Linked DNA regions of Saccharomyces cerevisiae S288C. The protein of the gene in region 3 interacts with the protein of the main gene of each other region in a biochemical or structural test. Each region holds a gene or a part of one and is shown on either strand. Other genes may lie near its edges.

Evidence for each region.
Region 1: the proteins of STE12 (region 3) and KSS1 form a complex in vitro, tested with the Saccharomyces cerevisiae proteins (4 studies listed by BioGRID, with this or other methods).
Region 2: the proteins of STE12 (region 3) and TEC1 form a complex in vitro, tested with the Saccharomyces cerevisiae proteins (4 studies listed by BioGRID).

What each region holds. Positions count from the first base shown.
Region 1 is NC_001139.9:573,663-579,348, forward strand, and holds KSS1 (mitogen-activated serine/threonine-protein kinase KSS1), read left to right. Parts: upstream 1-1,735; coding exon 1,736-2,842; downstream 2,843-5,686. Other genes in the region: YGR039W (uncharacterized protein), read left to right, coding at 1,226-1,537; BUD9 (Bud9p), read left to right, coding at 3,825-5,468. UniProt on the Saccharomyces cerevisiae protein: Together with closely related FUS3, KSS1 is the final kinase in the signal transduction cascade regulating activation/repression of the mating and filamentation pathways, induced by pheromone and nitrogen/carbon limitation, respectively.
Region 2 is NC_001134.8:407,582-413,473, forward strand, and holds TEC1 (Tec1p), read left to right. Parts: upstream 1-1,587; coding exon 1,588-3,048; downstream 3,049-5,892. Other genes in the region: trifunctional formate-tetrahydrofolate ligase/methenyltetrahydrofolate cyclohydrolase/methylenetetrahydrofolate dehydrogenase MIS1, read left to right, coding at 3,473-5,892. UniProt on the Saccharomyces cerevisiae protein: TEC1 is involved in the activation of TY1 and TY1-mediated gene expression. It is not involved in mating or sporulation processes.
Region 3 is NC_001140.6:267,186-276,740, reverse strand, and holds STE12 (homeodomain family transcription factor STE12), read right to left. Parts: upstream 2,568-9,555; coding exon 501-2,567; downstream 1-500. Other genes in the region: SAM complex subunit SAM35, read right to left, coding at 3,125-4,114; putative serine/threonine protein kinase KSP1, read left to right, coding at 5,193-8,282; LRP1 (Lrp1p), read right to left, coding at 8,649-9,203. UniProt on the Saccharomyces cerevisiae protein: Binds to the DNA sequence mediating pheromone induction (called the pheromone response element = PRE) which is found in the upstream control region of several a-, alpha- and haploid-specific genes.

The sequences.
Region 1 (5,686 bases), on a different chromosome or scaffold from region 3:
ACAAAGGACTGTAAGGATGTCAGCATAATTAATTTCTAAAATTTGTTTTACCCATGTTGGCAATAAATGAAATGGGGCAAATGCTTGGAAGGTATTGTATATATACGCATGTTCTTCATAAGTCATTTGTCTTTTGATTTCACCCTGGTCATTTGGAATGATGTCACCGAGATTAGAGTTCTTCAAAAATCTGATGTAAAATTTAACCCATGTAGAAAAGTTTTCTTCTGATGTTAAAGTGTGTGGTGGTAAGACGTTATTTCCCACCTTTGTCTTAGCTTGAGGTATTTCAGAGTGTTGATTTTTTAAATCGATTGGATCAGGTGAGGAAGTACTCAGTGGTGGGATATACTGTGGCAACGGATAGTGTGGGTCCGGTTGATAATACGCAGGTGACGTTTGATAATGTGAACACGTCATCATAGATGGTTGTTGGTAATGTGCCCAGTTAGAGGCCATAGCTTTGTTTGGGGTCATCATGCCGTGCTGTTGGTACTGTCCATTCTGTGGAGGTGGTACTGAAGCAGGTTGAGGAGAGACATGATGATGGTTCTCTGGAACAGCTGATGTCCCAGGTGTTGTCTCTTGTTGAGAATTAACCTTAGTGGAATCTCTATCAAATTCCGGTAAATTGGAAGCTGAAACGGCTAACGGATCTTGATTTTATGGGACTTCCTTAGAAGTAACCGAAGCATAGGCGCTACCATGAAGAGAATGTGGATTTTGATGTAATTGTTGGGATTCCATTTTTTATAAGGCGATAATATTAGGTATGTAGATATACTAGAAGTTCTCCTCGAGGATTTAGGAATCCATAAAAGGGAATCTGCAATTCTACACAATTCTATAAATATTATTATCATCATTTTATATGTTAATATTCATTGATCCTATTACATTATCAATCCTTGCGTTTCAGCTTCCACTAATTTAGATGACTATTTTTCATCATTTGCGTCATCTTCTAACACCGTATATGATAATATACTAGTAACGTAAATACTAGTTAGTAGATGATAGTTGATTTTTATTCCAACAGTATTTATGTTTTGTCATTCTTTTCTACATAATCTTGAAACTAGGTAGATCTACAATTGAAAAGTAAATACTAACATTATTTACTAAATTTAAGTTAGAAATCGGCACGAAAAAAATTTGACAGATTACGAGAGTCCAGCCAAAATATGAGTATATTACTATTTCCCCTTGGTGAAAGAAATGAAAGATGTTATTTTTTACCGGCTTAGTAATACTGAGCTACTTACTTGGGGGAAAGAAAGATTGGCTACTTATTATGTATGAAGCCTCAGATTACCTTGAATTCCTCAACCGTTTGAGCAGTATGCTCTTCAAATTCGAACTTTTTGAACATCTTTCCTCCACATTCCTGATTTTTTCACATTCAAAACGCGCTGTGAAGCTGTTAGAAATTTACAGATCGAGGCATATTTCTATATATAATGTATTTTTATTAAGACACCCAAAGTACTTCCAATCTGTAGATATTGCACTTTATCTGACCAGAAGCCAGACTTGAACAGTTACATATTGTGCTTTGCAGTCGTTAAATTTCCCGAACTGTTTTCGTATTTTTTTTTCTTTTCCTCTTTTCCACTGGATCAGATCAAAAGCCGACTAAAAATTTGGCAATTTAAAGAAAGCATCTTTTAAAGATAGAAAAGGTTATTTCAACAAAAAAGTATCTTTTCTTCACTTTTCTTTCAACAATTCAAAGATGGCTAGAACCATAACTTTTGATATCCCTTCCCAATATAAACTCGTAGATTTAATAGGTGAGGGAGCGTACGGAACAGTATGTTCAGCAATTCATAAGCCTTCCGGCATAAAGGTAGCTATCAAGAAAATACAACCGTTTAGCAAAAAATTGTTTGTTACAAGAACTATACGTGAGATCAAGCTTTTACGGTATTTCCATGAACACGAAAACATAATAAGTATATTGGATAAAGTAAGGCCAGTATCCATAGACAAACTAAACGCTGTTTATTTAGTCGAAGAGTTGATGGAAACCGATTTACAAAAAGTAATTAATAATCAGAATAGCGGGTTTTCCACTTTAAGTGATGACCATGTTCAATACTTTACATACCAAATCCTCAGAGCCTTAAAGTCTATTCACAGTGCACAAGTTATCCATAGAGACATAAAGCCATCAAACCTGTTACTAAATTCCAATTGTGATCTCAAAGTCTGCGATTTTGGACTAGCGAGGTGTTTAGCTAGCAGTAGCGATTCAAGAGAAACATTGGTAGGATTCATGACGGAGTACGTCGCAACGCGATGGTACAGGGCACCCGAGATAATGCTAACTTTTCAAGAGTACACAACTGCGATGGATATATGGTCATGCGGATGCATTTTGGCTGAAATGGTCTCCGGGAAGCCTTTGTTCCCAGGCAGAGACTATCATCATCAATTATGGCTAATTCTAGAAGTCTTGGGAACTCCATCTTTCGAAGACTTTAATCAGATCAAATCCAAGAGGGCTAAAGAGTATATAGCAAACTTACCTATGAGGCCACCCTTGCCATGGGAGACCGTCTGGTCAAAGACCGATCTGAATCCAGATATGATAGATTTACTAGACAAAATGCTTCAATTCAATCCTGACAAAAGAATAAGCGCAGCAGAAGCTTTAAGACACCCTTACCTGGCAATGTACCATGACCCAAGTGATGAGCCGGAATATCCTCCACTTAATTTGGATGATGAATTTTGGAAACTGGATAACAAGATAATGCGTCCGGAAGAGGAGGAAGAAGTGCCCATAGAAATGCTCAAAGACATGCTTTACGATGAACTAATGAAGACCATGGAATAGTATTCACAAGAACATTTCTGCCATACTTCTAAAATTTCCCTATATTCAGCTTAGCAGTGACACGTTGTGGTCTGTAGGTCAATATGTAAGTAAGAAACTTCAACTCACATATGCACGATGCATGCCAATGGAAAAATGCAAGGAACGAAATGGCGCCACGGCAACAAGTTTTTTTTTTTCGCCAGCAGAAGTACACGAAATGCGGCTTCATGAGCCTCTTCACTGCTTTGCCTAAACGGGAAATGCAGAGAAAAACCAGCCATCGCGTGTGCTTGGAGAGCTGACGCGACTGTAATCAAAGAGGCGATATCAACACCTTTTATCCAGCACTATTCAACAGTGAATGGGCTCCCAAGTAAGTCTTGGCATTGTGCTTTCTATTCTTAAGTATTAAGTAGAAGTTTTGTTTACTGGGTTTGTTTATTCCTGGCTAGATGTTCGCATTCGTTTTCTAGTTGACCATATTTACCAAATATTCACAACTAATACCCAGCCAAGGTAGTCTAAAAGCTAATTTCTCTAAAAGGGAGAAAGTTGGTGATTTTTTATCTCGCATTATTATATATGCAAGAATAGTTAAGGTATAGTTATAAAGTTTTATCTTAATTGCCACATACGTACATTGACACGTAGAAGGACTCCATTATTTTTTTCATTCTAGCATACTATTATTCCTTGTAACGTCCCAGAGTATTCCATTTAATTGTCCTCCATTTCTTAACGGTGACGAAGGATCACCATACAACAACTACTAAAGATTATAGTACACTCTCACCTTGCAACTATTTATCTGACATTTGCCTTACTTTTATCTCCAGCTTCCCCTCGATTTTATTTTTCAATTTGATTTCTAAAGCTTTTTGCTTAGGCATACCAAACCATCCACTCATTTAACACCTTATTTTTTTTTTCGAAGACAGCATCCAACTTTATACGTTCACTACCTTTTTTTTTACAACAATTTCATTCTTCATCCTATGAAATGACGAAAATAACCAGAGATGTTTCGATAACGACAGAAAATTCAAAATCCACATCTGGATCGGCAACGGCTTCATCCGCATCTTTACCTGAGAACGACCACCCAATATTCCATCAACCGCGAGCAAGAATAAGATCTGGTTCGCTGTTCATCGAAGGATCTGATTCATTTCCATCATCAGAAGTGAAGTCATACAATGTTTATATTGATGATAGCAAGTATAGTGAAATCCTCAAAGGAGATACAAATTCAAGTAGTACTGATGGTAAACAAGTCTTTGAAGATGCTAGAGATGACAATTTCCATCAGGAATCACATAGAGATCTAGAGGATTCAATTTTAGATTTAGTACGACGAGATCCAGAAGTAGCAGCATTCCCTTTACCTCCGCCAAATTCAAATGAGAGGAACAGAAATTCCTCAAACGGGTCTTCCGCTGAAACTAACCTAAATGGACACAGCAGCAGCGGTACCATCTCTACTTCGGTGCTGTTGAATATGGGTTCGGCAGAAAAGCACGCTGGGACGACCAGAGGAGATCATATGGAATCATCTTCAATGAAATCCTTCGAGAAACTGGGAACCAGACCTTCTTCTTTATTCTATCCACCACCCGAAGGAACTGCGCCGTACCAGGGACCAAGGGCTACCGTCTCCGGAAATAAGTCTACAAGGCAAACACAAGGTACATACTCATTTCCTTCTATGCGGTATGGTGTAGATCTTGTTTCTCCTGTGGAAGGGGCTGTTGATGTAGCAAAAAGCAGAGTTCCTAACAGCACGCTAAATGGTACTTTTCCCGATAAAGCGTTTATCCCACATGAATTTCAAATTCCTAAAAAGGCCTGGAACAGAATACCAGCGAATAAGTCCACTAGCCTCAAAACCCCAAGAAACCATTCCCTATTAATTGACATATTAAAGCCTTTTGAAGCAGCTGACCTTGCTAATGACCAGCGAAGTTCTTCCGCTGTTTTAAAAAATACAGTGCATTCTAATGGGCAGTATAATCCAACTAATGAAACCTCTGGAACTCGAATGCAAGATCAAAGGCAGAAGAATACCAACGAAATTGATTTAGAGAAAATTCCTAATCCTCAAGTCCCTCTTGGTATCGCAATGGACACCATGCGTAGTCCAAACCAACTACACGAAAAGGAATACGAAAGTAATATAGAAGCTGGTTTAGCTTCTGGGGTCGGAAAAGGTGACAATAGTATTAAGCAACATCAATATAAAAAAATTCCTCAAGAAATTGATCGAGATCAGCAATTAAGTTTTCAAATGGAAACAATGCCCATTCAAAGAATAGATTCCTCCTCCATACGTTCATTTGATTCCCGAATATATGGCTTCTCCGAGATTTATAGTATTCCAAGGGTTATAACTACACTGTGCATCTGCCTTTTTGTTCCGCCCTTATTCTTTTTCTTTTCAATCAATGGAAATAATGGCGTTTCAAATTATAGATTAATGAGAATGATAATGAATTATGAACATAGAATCGGCCTCCTCAAAGGGTTTGAATGGGACATTGACGTACAATGGTTCAGGACATTGTGCTTTGTATTAGGATGTATAGAGATGTTAGCTATCTTTGCTAGCATAGGAATAGGATTTGGTGTGGGAATAATAAGAGAGTAACTCCATGCTGGACTTACTCGTCGAAGATTTCCTGCTACTCTCTATATAATTAGACACCCATGTTATAGATTTCAGAAAACAATGTAATAATATATGGTAGCCTCCTGAAACTACCAAGGGAAAAATCTCAACACCAAGAGCTCATATTCGTTGGAATAGCGATAATATCTCTTTACCTCAATCTTATATGCATGTTATTTGCTCTTATAATTGGTCTC
Region 2 (5,892 bases), on a different chromosome or scaffold from region 3:
GTTACATCATTTCTTATCACGTAAGACTACTTATTGTCAAACTTTTTATGAAGTCATAAGGTGGACATATGAATAGTGCAGTTACCCTTGTTCAGGAATGACACCTTGTGCATTCCAGTGAGAAAGGAATGTTGACTAAAACAGTAGCTGTGCTTTTTTTTTTCTTTTTTGCCTTTTTATTCTTAATGTTCAAGAAAACTTTCTTTCCATGGAATGTATGAGGACCCTTTATTTTGAGGAATGGGTTCGAATTTATCATGCAAATTGGCAAGAATTTACTAAGTGGACTATATTTAAAGAGTTGAATTTTACGGTGAAAGTAAATTAACGCTACTTCTGTTGTTTTGGAAAAGCCAAGTTCAAGTTTCTTTTCTTGATTATTTATTCTCGTAACGATTTCGCTTTTCCTCTCTATATATTTTCCTACTCCATTCTGTAAAGAGCTTCCAGAACAAAATATAAATAAATAAAAAAAACTTCTCTTCAGGCAAGAGTACGTTCTTCGCTGGTTTCCTACAGAATCAAAAGAGTACTGCAGCTTATTGTACACACTTACAATATTCAAAACATGTGTGGCCTACTCGGTTCCTGGCAAGGTTAAGCCAAGTGGTGTAGTTACCAGAAAAAAGTGAACACATACAAGATACGATGCGTAAGTACATAAGGTATGACAGCCTGTAACAAATCCACGTTAGATTTATATCTTCTAGGCTGAGAATCTGGCAGGTTTTAGCAAAACATATATAACTTGCTCTCATTAAGCGGGCTCACTGCTTAAGCGATTGTTACCTGGAACTACAGGCAAGTACAATAGCCTCCTCCAGCTTTTGACTCTGAAAAAAAGGTAACGAAAGAAACTTTTCACACAGATAGGAACTATTCTAATATTACAGTAAAGCCAGCTATGGAATAACAGGTGGCATGTGCCCACTGTATTCATGTATGAGCGGCCTTTTTTTTCCACGAAAACAGATATGATGATGTTTTAGGCCAAAATGGTGAGATCCTTTTACAGGAAGATTTTACGCCAACTCTTTCCATTTAGTGACACAGGTGAGGGTCTTTTATCGGCGCAAGGTGTTTCAGATGAGCCATTTTGCCCGTAGTCCGGTTTAATCAGCCTCATTGGAATTCCCCGGCACCGCTCGCATTCCGCGTACGACTCAAAGAATTTCCCATTGAATTCGGGAATGTGCGTGTTTCAGATTGCGTTTGCTTATTATTCTGGGAAACTCTCCGGAAACAAGCTGAGCTGGACTCCACGAATGGTCCCTCACAAGGCTCTTGGCTCATGCACAGTTAAAAAGCACCTGTAGCTACCATCAGCAATCCATGGTGCTGGAGTTTCTCTCGATGGTACGGCCCATAGCTGGAGAAAATAGCTTATTACCAAAAAAGTAATTCCCCCGCAGAGGTATATATTAAGTTTGAAACAAAAGGCTTGCTTAATTTTTTACATATGACAACCCTTTTCTTACTTTTATAAATGTTTATGAAACAGGAGATTCTTCGACTGGTGCCAGATTCCTCCCATATCGACAAGAAGAATAATCCACCTATTTCAACAATTCTGATACCTGTTTAACCATGAGTCTTAAAGAAGACGACTTTGGCAAGGATAATTCTAGAAATATAGAATCATATACTGGTAGAATTTTTGACGTATATATACAAAAAGATTCGTATTCACAGTCGGCCTTGGATGATATGTTTCCAGAAGCCGTAGTTTCAACCGCCGCTTGTGTGAAAAATGAAGCGGAGGATAACATCAATCTCATAGACACGCATCCTCAATTCGAACTGGTAAATACTGGACTGGGTGCTAAATCGGACGATTTGAAATCTCCATCAGCAAAGGCTACGTTCACTGACAAGCAGAGGAAGAATGAAGTACCAAATATATCTGTGAGCAACTACTTTCCCGGACAAAGTAGCGAAACGTCGTCAACAACGGAATCTTGGACTATCGGTTGTGATAAGTGGTCAGAAAAGGTAGAAGAGGCATTCCTTGAGGCACTTAGACTGATAATGAAAAATGGGACCACAAAAATAAAAATAAGAAATGCCAATTTTGGAAGAAACGAGCTGATTTCATTATATATCAAGCACAAAACCAACGAGTTCAGAACCAAAAAGCAAATTTCTTCCCATATTCAAGTCTGGAAGAAGACCATACAAAACAAAATCAAGGACTCGCTGACCCTATCATCAAAGGAGAAGGAGCTTCTACACCTTATCGAACATGGCGCTGAACAAACTACTGAAAACTCAAACCTGTTTTATGACATATTTGAAGAAATTATCGACTCTCTACCTTCAGTCAGTGATTCTGGAAGTTTAACCCCTAAAAACCTCTATGTAAGTAATAATAGCAGTGGATTGTCAGTACATTCAAAACTGCTTACGCCAATCACTGCTTCCAACGAGAAAAAAATTGAAAATTTCATAAAAACTAATGCTGCATCTCAAGCCAAAACCCCCCTCATTTACGCTAAGCACATTTATGAAAACATAGACGGCTACAAGTGCGTTCCGTCAAAGAGGCCTCTTGAACAACTTTCCCCCACGGAACTCCACCAGGGAGATCGCCCCAATAAGGCTAGCTTTTCCAACAAGAAGGCAATCCTGGAGAGTGCAAAAAAAATCGAAATAGAGCAGAGAAAGATAATCAACAAATACCAAAGAATTTCCCGCATACAAGAACATGAAAGTAATCCTGAGTTCAGTTCCAATTCCAATTCCGGTTCAGAGTACGAATCGGAGGAAGAAGTAGTCCCAAGATCAGCCACAGTCACACAACTCCAAAGCAGACCAGTGCCATACTACAAGAATAATGGAATGCCCTACTCACTCTCCAAAGTACGAGGAAGGCCCATGTATCCAAGACCTGCTGAAGATGCTTACAATGCCAATTATATTCAAGGTCTGCCCCAGTACCAAACATCTTATTTTTCGCAGCTGTTATTATCATCACCCCAGCATTACGAACATTCTCCACATCAAAGGAACTTTACGCCATCCAACCAATCGCATGGGAACTTTTATTAAATGTCTACATACATACATACATCTCGTACATAAATACGCATACGTATCTTCGTAGTAAGAACCGTCACAGATATGATTGAGCACGGTACAATTATGTATTAGTCAAACATTACCAGTTCTCGAACAAAACCAAAGCTACTCCTGCAACACTCTTCTATCGCACATGTATGGTTCTTATTGTTTCCCGAGTTCTTTTTTACTGACGCGCCAGAACGAGTAAGAAAGTTCTCTAGCGCCATGCTGAAATTTTTTTCACTTCAACGGACAGCGATTTTTTTTCTTTTTCCTCCGAAATAATGTTGCAGCGGTTCTCGATGCCTCAAGAATTGCAGAAGTAAACCAGCCAATACACATCAAAAAACAACTTTCATTACTGTGATTCTCTCAGTCTGTTCATTTGTCAGATATTTAAGGCTAAAAGGAAATGTTGTCGAGACTATCTTTATTGAGTAACTCGAGGGCGTTCCAACAGGCCAGATGGCGCATTTACCGCTTAAAAGTTTCGCCAACTGTGCATGCTTCTCAATACCATATTCTTTCTGGTAGGAAACTTGCTCAATCTATTCGAGAAAAAGCCAATGATGAGATACAAGCCATTAAGCTTAAGCATCCTAATTTCAAGCCTACCTTGAAAATCATTCAAGTCGGGGCCAGACCAGACTCATCTACGTACGTGAGGATGAAATTGAAAGCTTCAAAGGACAGCAATGTAGACTGTATCATAGAGAAGTTACCAGCAGAAATCACTGAAGTTGAGCTTTTGAAGAAAATTAGTGACATCAATGATGATGACTCTATCCATGGGTTGCTAATTCAACTACCTCTACCGCGTCACTTGGATGAAACCACGATTACAAACGCTGTGGACTTTAAAAAGGACGTTGATGGGTTCCACAGATATAATGCTGGTGAATTGGCTAAAAAAGGAGGGAAACCATACTTCATACCATGTACTCCTTATGGTTGCATGAAATTACTTGAAGAAGCTCATGTTAAGTTAGATGGTAAGAACGCCGTCGTGTTAGGCAGATCAAGTATCGTCGGAAATCCAATTGCTTCGTTGTTGAAAAATGCGAATGCCACTGTTACTGTCTGTCATAGTCATACAAGGAACATTGCAGAAGTGGTCTCCCAAGCTGATATAGTTATCGCAGCTTGCGGTATTCCTCAATACGTTAAATCAGACTGGATTAAAGAAGGCGCCGTGGTTATTGATGTAGGTATCAACTACGTACCTGATATCAGTAAGAAAAGTGGGCAAAAATTAGTTGGTGATGTTGATTTTGATTCTGTAAAGGAAAAGACATCTTATATTACCCCTGTTCCTGGTGGAGTGGGTCCAATGACTGTCGCTATGCTTGTTTCCAATGTACTATTAGCTGCTAAAAGGCAATTCGTGGAATCTGAAAAGCTTCCAGTTATCAAACCTCTTCCATTACACTTAGAAAGTCCAGTGCCTTCAGATATTGATATATCAAGAGCTCAGAGTCCTAAGCATATCAAGCAAGTTGCCGAGGAGTTGGGAATCCACTCTCACGAATTAGAATTATACGGCCACTATAAGGCAAAAATTTCTCCAAATATTTTTAAAAGATTAGAATCTAGAGAAAACGGTAAGTACGTCCTTGTTGCAGGTATTACTCCGACTCCATTGGGTGAAGGTAAATCCACTACGACTATGGGGTTGGTGCAGGCTTTATCCGCTCATTTAGGGAAACCATCCATCGCGAACGTTAGACAACCATCTCTTGGCCCAACCCTGGGTGTCAAAGGTGGTGCTGCTGGTGGTGGTTATGCCCAAGTTATTCCTATGGACGAGTTCAATTTACATTTGACCGGGGATATTCATGCTATCAGCGCTGCGAACAATCTTCTTGCAGCAGCTATCGACACTAGAATGTTCCATGAAGCCACTCAGAAGAATGATAGTACATTTTACAAGAGACTAGTTCCAAGAAAAAAAGGCATCAGAAAGTTTACCCCATCCATGCAGAGAAGGCTTAAAAGATTGGATATTGAAAAAGAAGACCCTGATGCTTTAACACCTGAAGAAGTCAAAAGATTTGCTAGATTGAACATAAATCCCGATACTATCACTATCAGAAGAGTTGTCGACATCAATGACAGGATGTTAAGACAAATTACCATTGGCGAAGCCGCTACGGAGAAGGGTTTTACAAGGACCACTGGATTCGATATCACTGTTGCCTCTGAATTAATGGCCATTTTAGCTCTATCTAAAAGCTTACACGAGATGAAGGAACGTATTGGACGCATGGTTATTGGTGCTGATTATGATAACAAACCAGTAACAGTAGAAGATATTGGCTGTACCGGTGCTCTGACTGCATTATTACGTGACGCTATAAAGCCTAACTTAATGCAAACTTTGGAAGGGACCCCCGTAATGGTTCACGCTGGTCCTTTCGCCAACATCTCCATCGGCGCATCATCAGTAATTGCAGACTTAATGGCATTGAAGCTTGTTGGTTCAGAAAAGAACCCGTTAAATGACAAGAACATCCATGAACCTGGTTATGTAGTTACTGAAGCAGGATTCGATTTTGCCATGGGTGGTGAAAGATTCTTTGATATCAAATGTCGTTCCTCTGGATTGGTGCCAGATGCAGTTGTCTTAGTCGCAACCGTAAGAGCTTTGAAATCTCATGGAGGTGCTCCAAATGTTAAGCCCGGACAATCATTACCAAAAGAATACACAGAGGAAAACATCGATTTTGTTGCCAAGGGTGTTAGTAATTTGGTTAAGCAGATTGAAAACATCAAAACGTTTGGAATACCAGTCGTTGTAGCAATCAACAGATTTGAAACAGACTCACAGGCAGA
Region 3 (9,555 bases):
ACCTTTTTCTTTTTTGATTACAACTTTTAACTATTATGAACATCGATGCCTTCACCTTATAATTAGGAATCTCGCTTTTTCTGGTGGAAAAATTTTCCGATGGCCTTTGCCATTCTGAAAAATAAAAGGCAATACTACGTTGGTATCAAAATAGTGGATAAACACATATTGTAATACTAAGCGATCATGTAGTTTTGGAGGTCATGTTAAGAAACTCATTGATATTTATATTACATACTGTGACGCTAGATAAATCACATATATAAAGGTATTATATTATATTATCTTTTTCTTTTTTTTTTTTTGTTATTTTCTAACGTTAATAGATTTGTTACATTTATTACCTTTTTTTCTTGCTTTTTGTTTGCTCTAGTCTTGTATAAGATTGTTTTATTTATAAAAACAGATTGTCCTTGTTGTTTTCTTCTGAGTATTGTTTAATATTAAATTCTGGCCCGCATTTTTAATTCTTGTATCATAAATTCAAAAATTATATTATATCAGGTTGCATCTGGAAGGTTTTTATCGGACCTTCGATTGGTATCTACCTCAAGTGAATGAGCTCCACCTTCTTCTGACTGGACCACCAAAGTATTGGAATCCGGAGTAGGCATCGAAATTTCTTTGTTCTTATCAGGATGAGCAGAATCTTCGTCACCAGCACTTGGCCTGGCTTTCGTTTCCAAGTTGATTTTGTATTGCTTCTGATAAGCACTTGTCTTAATATGTAGAGGCTTTGAAATTTTTGCAGACTTGCCCACAGATTGTTTATTACCTGTTGGAACATTTCCTTGTGAAGACTTCATTCCCACAGTTCTTCGCCGTGGGTATTGATTTATATTTTGAGAATAAAATGTGCTAGGAGGATAGTTTTTAGCAGTTGTAGATGGTGCTCTCGAACTATAAGGTGAAACAGCAGTGTTCCACTGCATGGAATTTGAACTTTGCATGTATGGGAACATCGCGGAACCTGGTGTCGATCTATAATTCGGTGTGTATGGTCTCCCAACATAGGTTGGAGCTGGTTGCATAGCTTGAGGGGGCAAAACATTCCATGAAGTTGCAGTTTGTGGATACAGCATATTGTTATCACATCCTTCTGGTGGAAAGAAAAAATCGTCCGCGCCATAAAAGGCTTGATCGAGTAGAGGATCCCCCCCCATGGGATTATACGGCATTTTTGGGTAGTATCCTGGAACCATTCCGTTTGGGTAAGATTGCTGGAAGTTGTTAGAATATAATTGGTGTTGTTTAGTTTGCTGGCCAGAGTTGTGAGATTTTGCATTTGTACAGTTTTCATTTGGCCGAGATTCATCAAAATCCATAACTGGTTCGTCATACTTCATGTAGCTGGTAGGGTCGCTAGGAGATACCAATTTTTCCTTGTTATTGTTAGATGAATAAAAATCCCGATTTGTCATAAAATGTTGCCTCGATGATGATGGTGGCACTGGGAAAGTGGGTGCCACTGATAACTGATAGGGGTATCTATTAAGAAGAGAATTAACGGGCATAGAATCCCTTTCATTCACGTTATCATAGGAAATAGGCATGGAAGGGGCAGCTGGCGTAAAAGCCTGTGGAGGGAACGGATCAAACGCATTTTCCTCCGTAGGGTATTCAACAGATACAGGAAAATAGTCGAGAGGAAAATCTTCTTCGTCTCTGCCCTTAGCGGTATTCTTGGGTAAGTCATGAGGCGTTTCTTCTGTGAGACCATTCAATTCGAGAGTATTGGGTTCTATAATCAATTTCTGAGGAATAAAATCATTAATTTGAGAGGGGGATTCTGGCGCATCGTCATCCATGAGGCCAACGCCTAAAAGCGGCTGATTAGTTACTGTTACCAACTCATTATCCTTAAAATTCTCGCTTTCTAATTTTGGAGGCGAATTATCTGATTTTGTTGTACTAGATGGTCTTCTAGAATCTAAATGTTGAAGTAACTGATCGTAGAGAGGCTTATCAGATGAGGAATCATATGAAAAAGATAAGGCGGGCTCATTAACGGGCTTAGTCGTTGAAGGCTGATTCAAACTTTCTCTTTTTAAATCTCTTTCCAACGCATCCGCAAACAACTTATCATGTGCTACACTGAACCAAAAAAATACTTTCTGCTTTTTTTGGGTTTTCAGACACATATTTCTGAATAGAAACGACAAAAATTCGGACTTTGGTTGTTCTAAAGTTGCATCTATACCACATTTGAGATTTCTTAAATCTGAAAAAATACCCTCTTCAAATTTTTTCTTTTGAACTACTTCTCTCCCAAACTTTTGCATTCTGTAAAGACAACATTTGACAATATCAGTACCTGTAATATAGTATAGATTGTTCCAAAATACACAAGAGACAAAGCCTTGTCCACTATTCAGATAGTATCGCCTTATAATTTGGTTTTCTTGCCAATTTACCGGCGCTGTGGCTAAAAAGAATTTTAGATCGCCGATTAACCTTAGCGATTCTTCAACTTCGCCCGGAGTAGCTTTACTGACTTCATCGTTTTCATTATTAGCTTGAACTTTTAAGATTTCCTCTGTTCTACTATTGGTTATTTGGACTTTCATCCTTGGTGAACAAGACAATTCAAATAAAGAAAGCGGTTCCGCTATAAAAGTGTGTTTTCTTCGACGAGTCTTGTTTGAGAAATATCAATATCCACTCTAGGTCTCGCTTGGGACACTTATAAAACAAGTCTTCAGTGCTTACCTGTTATCTTTTCCTATTTTATGAATGGCACGAACGTCTCAAAAAAGTCAACTAAAAAGAAGTAATCTAATTGTAAAAGGAACGTAGTGGTACTATGTGCGAGAAAACTAGCGTACGAGTACTTCGATTTATGGTGTCGAGACCTGACCGCGAAGAGTTGTTCAATCTTTTTTAGGCTGTTTTGTATTAGTTTTGATATATCTTAAGATGTTGCAAATTCGTTTCTTTTAAAACAATTTTTATCTGTTTCACTTTTTCTATTGAGACGAAAACGGACAACGGCGTTTGTTTCATTTTGAAACGAGCTCTCCGAAAAGAAATGCTGTGTTTCAAATTATGCAACACTCTAGAGTTCATATATTTATACACACGAAAACTTCATCTATATCGTTTACATACTACAGCTTGAAAGTGATTACTGAACGAAGTTCTTCAGGGTGTCTTGTGCAAACTGGACCAATTCTTTACATTCGTTTTCAACAAATGTCTTTAGCTTTATGGGTTCCTTAACGTTCGTTATACAAAGAATGTAACTTGCAATTTTCAGATGTAAGTAAGTGGGTTGCCCGTCGCTTTTCAACATATCTTTTAAACCTAAAAGAACTTGCTTGCTATTCTCGAACAAAACGTTCAAGACCTGCTCTTGATTAACGGAGTTGTGATGGTTGTGATAAACTCCTTGCATACTCTTGACGATTTCTCGATGGCGGAACTGGAACTTGTTCCGCTTTGTTAGGGATATCTTCAAACTCTTTGCGGACAACTTCTGTAATAAAGAGTTTTCTACGTCCAATGGAGTGACTATCGAACCACTTAACTTCTGGCAAGAGTACAATTCCATGAATTGCGCATCTGAGGCACAGAAAATTATTTGCGTGATCCAACAATCGTACAGCACGGTATCCAGCAACGTATAGTACATCAACTGCTCAGCATCATCAAGTATCCGAGACCTCATAATTTCGCTGATTGCCACGGTGGATCTTATAATTCTCTTCTTGTAACCCTCAACTAGAATAGGTAGGGCCTCATCGGGGTTAGAAAGACGGGACAGAACGAGCATTTCATGGTTACAGGTATGCGATGGGGTTTGTTCCTGCGAGTGCGTGGGTAAGACTAGACCATTCTTTTGACACAGCGCAAGCTGAACAAACAGACACCATGGATCTGTGGCCAATGCCGCCCCTGTATTTGCCTCCAAAAAAACGTTGTAAACACCTAGCTTGTACGTCCCCTCCACAGTCAACTCAGAGCTTCCACCACCGCGTTCTGTGAATGTGTAGGACCTCCGCTGTATTTCTAATGCAACGGCCTCGTCCTTGTCAGTCTGCGCAGCATATGTTTGTAACGGAAATGTGTCAAATATCCGTTTTACTGGCATGGGAACACTGAATGAACTTACCATTGTGCACGATGGCTTCGTTTTAGCCCTATATGAGACGACATACAAGAGGCCTTCACACCATTTATTTCAGCATTCACTTCTAAATATCGTCCCGTTACCCTCATCGCTACTGCCGGGCGTTCCCAACCCCTTCCGAGGCAGATTATATTTATTTATCTTTTTAACAATTTGTCCCTATATAGGCGGGCCGAACACAGCACGTGAAAGAACTCTCAGGCTTCCACAACAGGCCATATCAAGTCCACACTTCCCTCATTACTAGCATTTTTACACAAGCAGTCCACGCATTCCGCAACAGTGTTCACCTTTCTTTTCCCTAACTTATCTTATTATTTGTTTGTTGATCGCAAACAGACCCTTTTTTTTGGTGAGCGCATTTTACACAGTCTCAAGTGTCCTCTACTATAAAAATACAACCTCAAACAGTACTTACTGGCGTCCGCAGAATATTACTGCACTCTCAATCTGTAAAGAATATAACAAGTGACCCATTCCCTTGTTTTATTCAACTTCGAAATCTCTCTGGCTATCTTTGCATGCTTATCTAACTTTCACGTGACCCGGATATTGTTCTCTGCTCAAAAAAGAACTGCAAAGAAGGAAATAGAAAAATAGCATACAGGCTCAAAGCTATAGTTTTCTGAAAAGGGACACCACGAATACAGTAGTATCAAAGAGAAAAAAGACTTCTTTATACTTACAGAAGGTTCATTTTCTGATTCTACTCTTCCAATCTAGTGTCGCAAAAAAACAAAACTTACTGGTATTAGCTGGCAAAAAAAAAAAGAATAGGTTATAATTAAAGACATCTTTTCTCTATAAATTTTTTCTTAGAAGAAAAAGCCAAAAAAAAAAAACCTGCTTCATACCCGCCATCAAATCTTATAGGCCTTATAGACTGCATATTACCGGATTCTTTCTCTCCGTTAACCCTACTATTCTTTCACTATACTTTAACCTAAAATAAAAAAGGAAAAAAAAAATTAAAAACTTCCAAAAACTTAGAAATTTCAAATACAAAACAAAAAGACACGTAAAGTTAGTGCAATATTTTTTTCTTACAATTTTTTGAAACTCGATGACTTTAGATTACGAGATTTACAAAGAAGGAGGTATTTTGAATAATCGATATCAAAAAATAGAGGATATCAGTGAAGGTTCATATGGTTATGTATCATTGGCTAAAGATGTTAGAGAGAAAAGATTGGTTGCAGTCAAATACATTTTCAAATTAGAAGATGACGGCCAGTACGATGGGCCTCAGGACGACGAAAATGATTGTGATAGTAGCGATTGTGATGATGATGAAGACACGAAAGTTGATACGGATCGCCATGAAAATGAAAATGGTAATGCCTCCAGTAATAACGGGTCAAGTAGAGAGAAGAAACACAATCTCTACAAACACAAAAAGTCCCTAATTTCTTCGAAAGTTAAATCAAGACTATCTAATAACATTTGTCTCGAAGCCATGTATGAAGTTGATATTCAAACAAAAATTGGTAGACACCAAAATATTGCTGCTCTATTAGATTTCTTCGACTCTTACATCATCATGGAATATTGCTCTGGCGGTGACCTATATGAGGCGATCAAAGCCGATGCTGTGCCTAAGAAAACCAAATCGATCACTCATATTATCACACAAATCATGGATGCAATTGAATATGTTCATAACAAGGGCATTTATCATCGTGATATAAAACCTGAGAACATTTTAATTTCTGGAATTGATTGGACAATTAAGCTTACAGATTGGGGATTGGCTACTACAGATAAGACGTCTATGGATAGAAATGTCGGTAGTGAAAGATATATGTCCCCTGAACTTTTTGATAGTAATTTGGATATCAAGGAAAGAAAGGAACCTTATGACTGTGCCAAAGTGGATTTATGGGCTATGGGAATTGTGTTTCTTAATATTGTTTTCCATAAGAATCCTTTTAGTATTGCCAATCAATCCGACAAGTCATTCTGTTATTTTGCTGCTAATAGAGAAGCGTTGTTTGATGTATTTTCGACAATGGCTTATGATTTCTTTCAAGTATTAAGGTATAGTTTAACCATCGATCCGGCTAATAGAGACTTGAAAATGATGAGAACTGAACTACAGAACTTATCTGAGTATACATTAGACGATGAATACTATAATAACTTGGATGAAGGATATGAAGAAACTATGATTGACGGTTTGCCACCTCAGCCTGTTCCTCCATCTTCAGCACCGGTATCATTACCTACTCCTATTTCATCTAGTAACAAACAACATATGCCTGAATTTAAAAAGGATTTCAATTTCAATAATGTGAATGAAAGGAAACGGTCAGATGTCTCTCAAAATCAAAATGTTGCAAGCGGCTTCTTTAAAAAACCGTCTACACAACAACAGAAATTTTTCAACCAGGGTTATAATACAACACTATCTACTCATGAAAGGGCTAAATCTGCTCCTAAGTTCAAATTTAAGAAGCGCAATAAGTACGGAAGAACTGATAATCAATTTTCCAAACCAGTCAATATCGAAGATAGAAAGAAAAGTAAAATTTTGAAAAAATCAAGGAAGCCTCTTGGCATACCAACGCCTAATACACACATGAATAATTTTTTCCACGATTACAAAGCAAGGGATGAATTCAACACCAGAGATTTTTTCACTCCTCCAAGTGTCCAGCACAGGTATATGGAGGGGTTTTCCAACAACAACAATAAACAGTACAGACAGAATCGTAATTACAACAATAATAACAACAACAGCAATAACAATCATGGAAGTAATTATAATAATTTTAACAATGGTAATAGCTATATAAAGGGTTGGAACAAAAACTTTAACAAATACAGAAGACCAAGTTCCTCCAGTTATACCGGTAAGTCACCACTTTCAAGGTACAACATGAGCTATAATCATAACAACAATAGTTCTATAAATGGTTATGCAAGGCGTGGTTCTACGACTACAGTTCAACATTCACCAGGCGCTTATATTCCACCAAATGCCAGGAACCATCACGTAAGCCCAACGAATCAGTTTTTAAGAGTTCCGCAATCAACTGCTCCTGATATCTCTACCGTTTTAGGTGGGAAGCCTTCATACCAGGAACACTACACTCAGGATAGTATGGATTCTGAGGGCGATCACGATTCAGACGACGTTTTATTCACTCTTGAAGAAGGTGATCATGATTTCGTCAATGGTATGGACAACTTATCTATAAATGATCACTTACCGCATACAACGGTAGGTAGCCATAATGAAGTATTTGTTCACGCAAGCACTAATCACAATAACAATGGCAACAACAACCATATCGACACCAATAGTACCACTAATCAATATCATAGACAATATATTCCACCTCCTTTGACAACATCATTGCATATCAACAATAACAATAATGAATCTAATGAACTACCAGATTTACTAAAATCACCAGCATCATCTGAAGCACATTTAAATTTATCTTCTGGACCAATTGATCCAATTTTAACAGGTAATATTGGCAATCGATATTCACACTCATCTGACTCTAAGGAGCTAGAGCAGGAGCGTAGACTCAGTATGGAACAAAAATTTAAAAATGGGGTTTATGTTCCACCTCATCATAGGAAGAGTTTCAACTTGGGAACACAGGTACCTCCTATGAATATGAAGACAAGTAACGAGGCCACGTTGTCAGTTTCGCATAATTCTGTTAATTTTGGTGGATCTTACAATTCCAGGCGTTCCAGTGCTAATGAATCTAACCCACTGCATATGAATAAAGCACTCGAGAAGTTGTCCTCTTCACCAGGAGCTAAAAGCTCCTTCGTTGGCTTCCCTAAACCTTTATTACCTCGTAATCATTCAAGCACTACGATTGCGTTGCAAAATGAAGACGTATTCGCAGACTCTAACAATGACGCCATAATTTTCGAAGACGAAGAATACGAAGGAGAAAGTGACAAGATGGCACATGGCAAAATGGAAGGTGGTGACAACGAATCCTCGTCAACCTCCCCGGATGAAAGGCAAATTTTCGGTCCTTATGAAATTTATGCTCAAACTTTCGCTGGCTCCACTCACGATAAAAAATTAGGAGCTGGCAGGAAGACAAGTATTCAGGATGAAATGGTCGGATCGTTAGAACAATACAAGAATAATTGGTTAATTTTACAGCAACAAGACTAAGCGCACCTATTCCCTCTGTTATGTTGCTTATTATTTTCTTCCCTTCTGAAATGCATTTTTAGCTTTTTTCATCAATTTGGCATCATCGTGCATTTCAACTTCTAAGTATGAATGCTTTTTGGTAGTTAAGCTTGAAGGGTTTTATGAAAACTCTCTTTTCTTAGATATTTCTACAGTCTTATATAACGTCAATTCACACAAAAGTGTTCACTGCCAACTACAAGAATAGCATATACACATATTAGTTACTTCAACGAGTTCTTATTGTTATTATAAAAGTATATAAACCCTATAAGCATTTTTGCATTTGTGCTCTCACATCACCTTTAATCATTTTTTCACTCATGTACCAGTATACGTCGACCTCTACTTCTTCCCTCCTTTCTTTTTTCCAACTTTATCCAATCTTTTACTTTTCTTACTACTTGCTTTCCTTATATGATCGGTACTGTCAATAATCTTAGTCGTTGTACTCTCTGCCAGTTCATCGTTTTCAAATTTCGTATGCTTCCCTTGAAAGTTGCTCCTGCTTATAGAGGGCTCGAATTGGTTTTTATTACCGTCCAAAACATTGGAAATGATATTCTTAGCTTTTTCTTGCTCTGCCTGCGATTTTTCGTTGGATTTGGTTATCCTATTATCGTATTGTTTAGCCTTATCCATGTATGATTTTACTCTTTTCAGTTCGCCGAGTATAGGAGACATATCTTTGACGCCTAGGACTTTCATATTAGCAAACATCAGAGAACTCAATACATACGCGTAACGATTAATTAGTTCTAATTTAGCCCTCTCATCAGATAATAGCAACAGCTGTTCATCCAGTGACTTCGACGTTAGTTTCTCTATTTCTGGTTTCAGCTCGTCTAACGCCTTTGAAAAACTCCTAACGTATGGTTTTATCTTTTCGATATCTTCCATTACTGATCTAATACTCCGTTACGTTGCTAGATATATGTTTATATTAATCGATTTCTACTGTAGGCTGTTAACCAGTTTTTTCTTCCACAGACTACAGAAGGCACAGTCCATAACCATCTGCCTTAGCTCATCGCTGAAAAACTGCACGAGAATTCGTGAAACGTGACATGTTGGGTACCCGCATGAATAGAAAATATGCTAGTAACGACTCTTCTTTACATTCCCATTGCTGGTGTATGTACGCTGATATGAAAATGCTTGCCCAATAAATACCAAGGTTATGACGTTGCCGCTTTGTATTGTCTTCTAATCTAAAAATCTTTCCACGCCAGTAGTGGCTGGCTTTATGCGG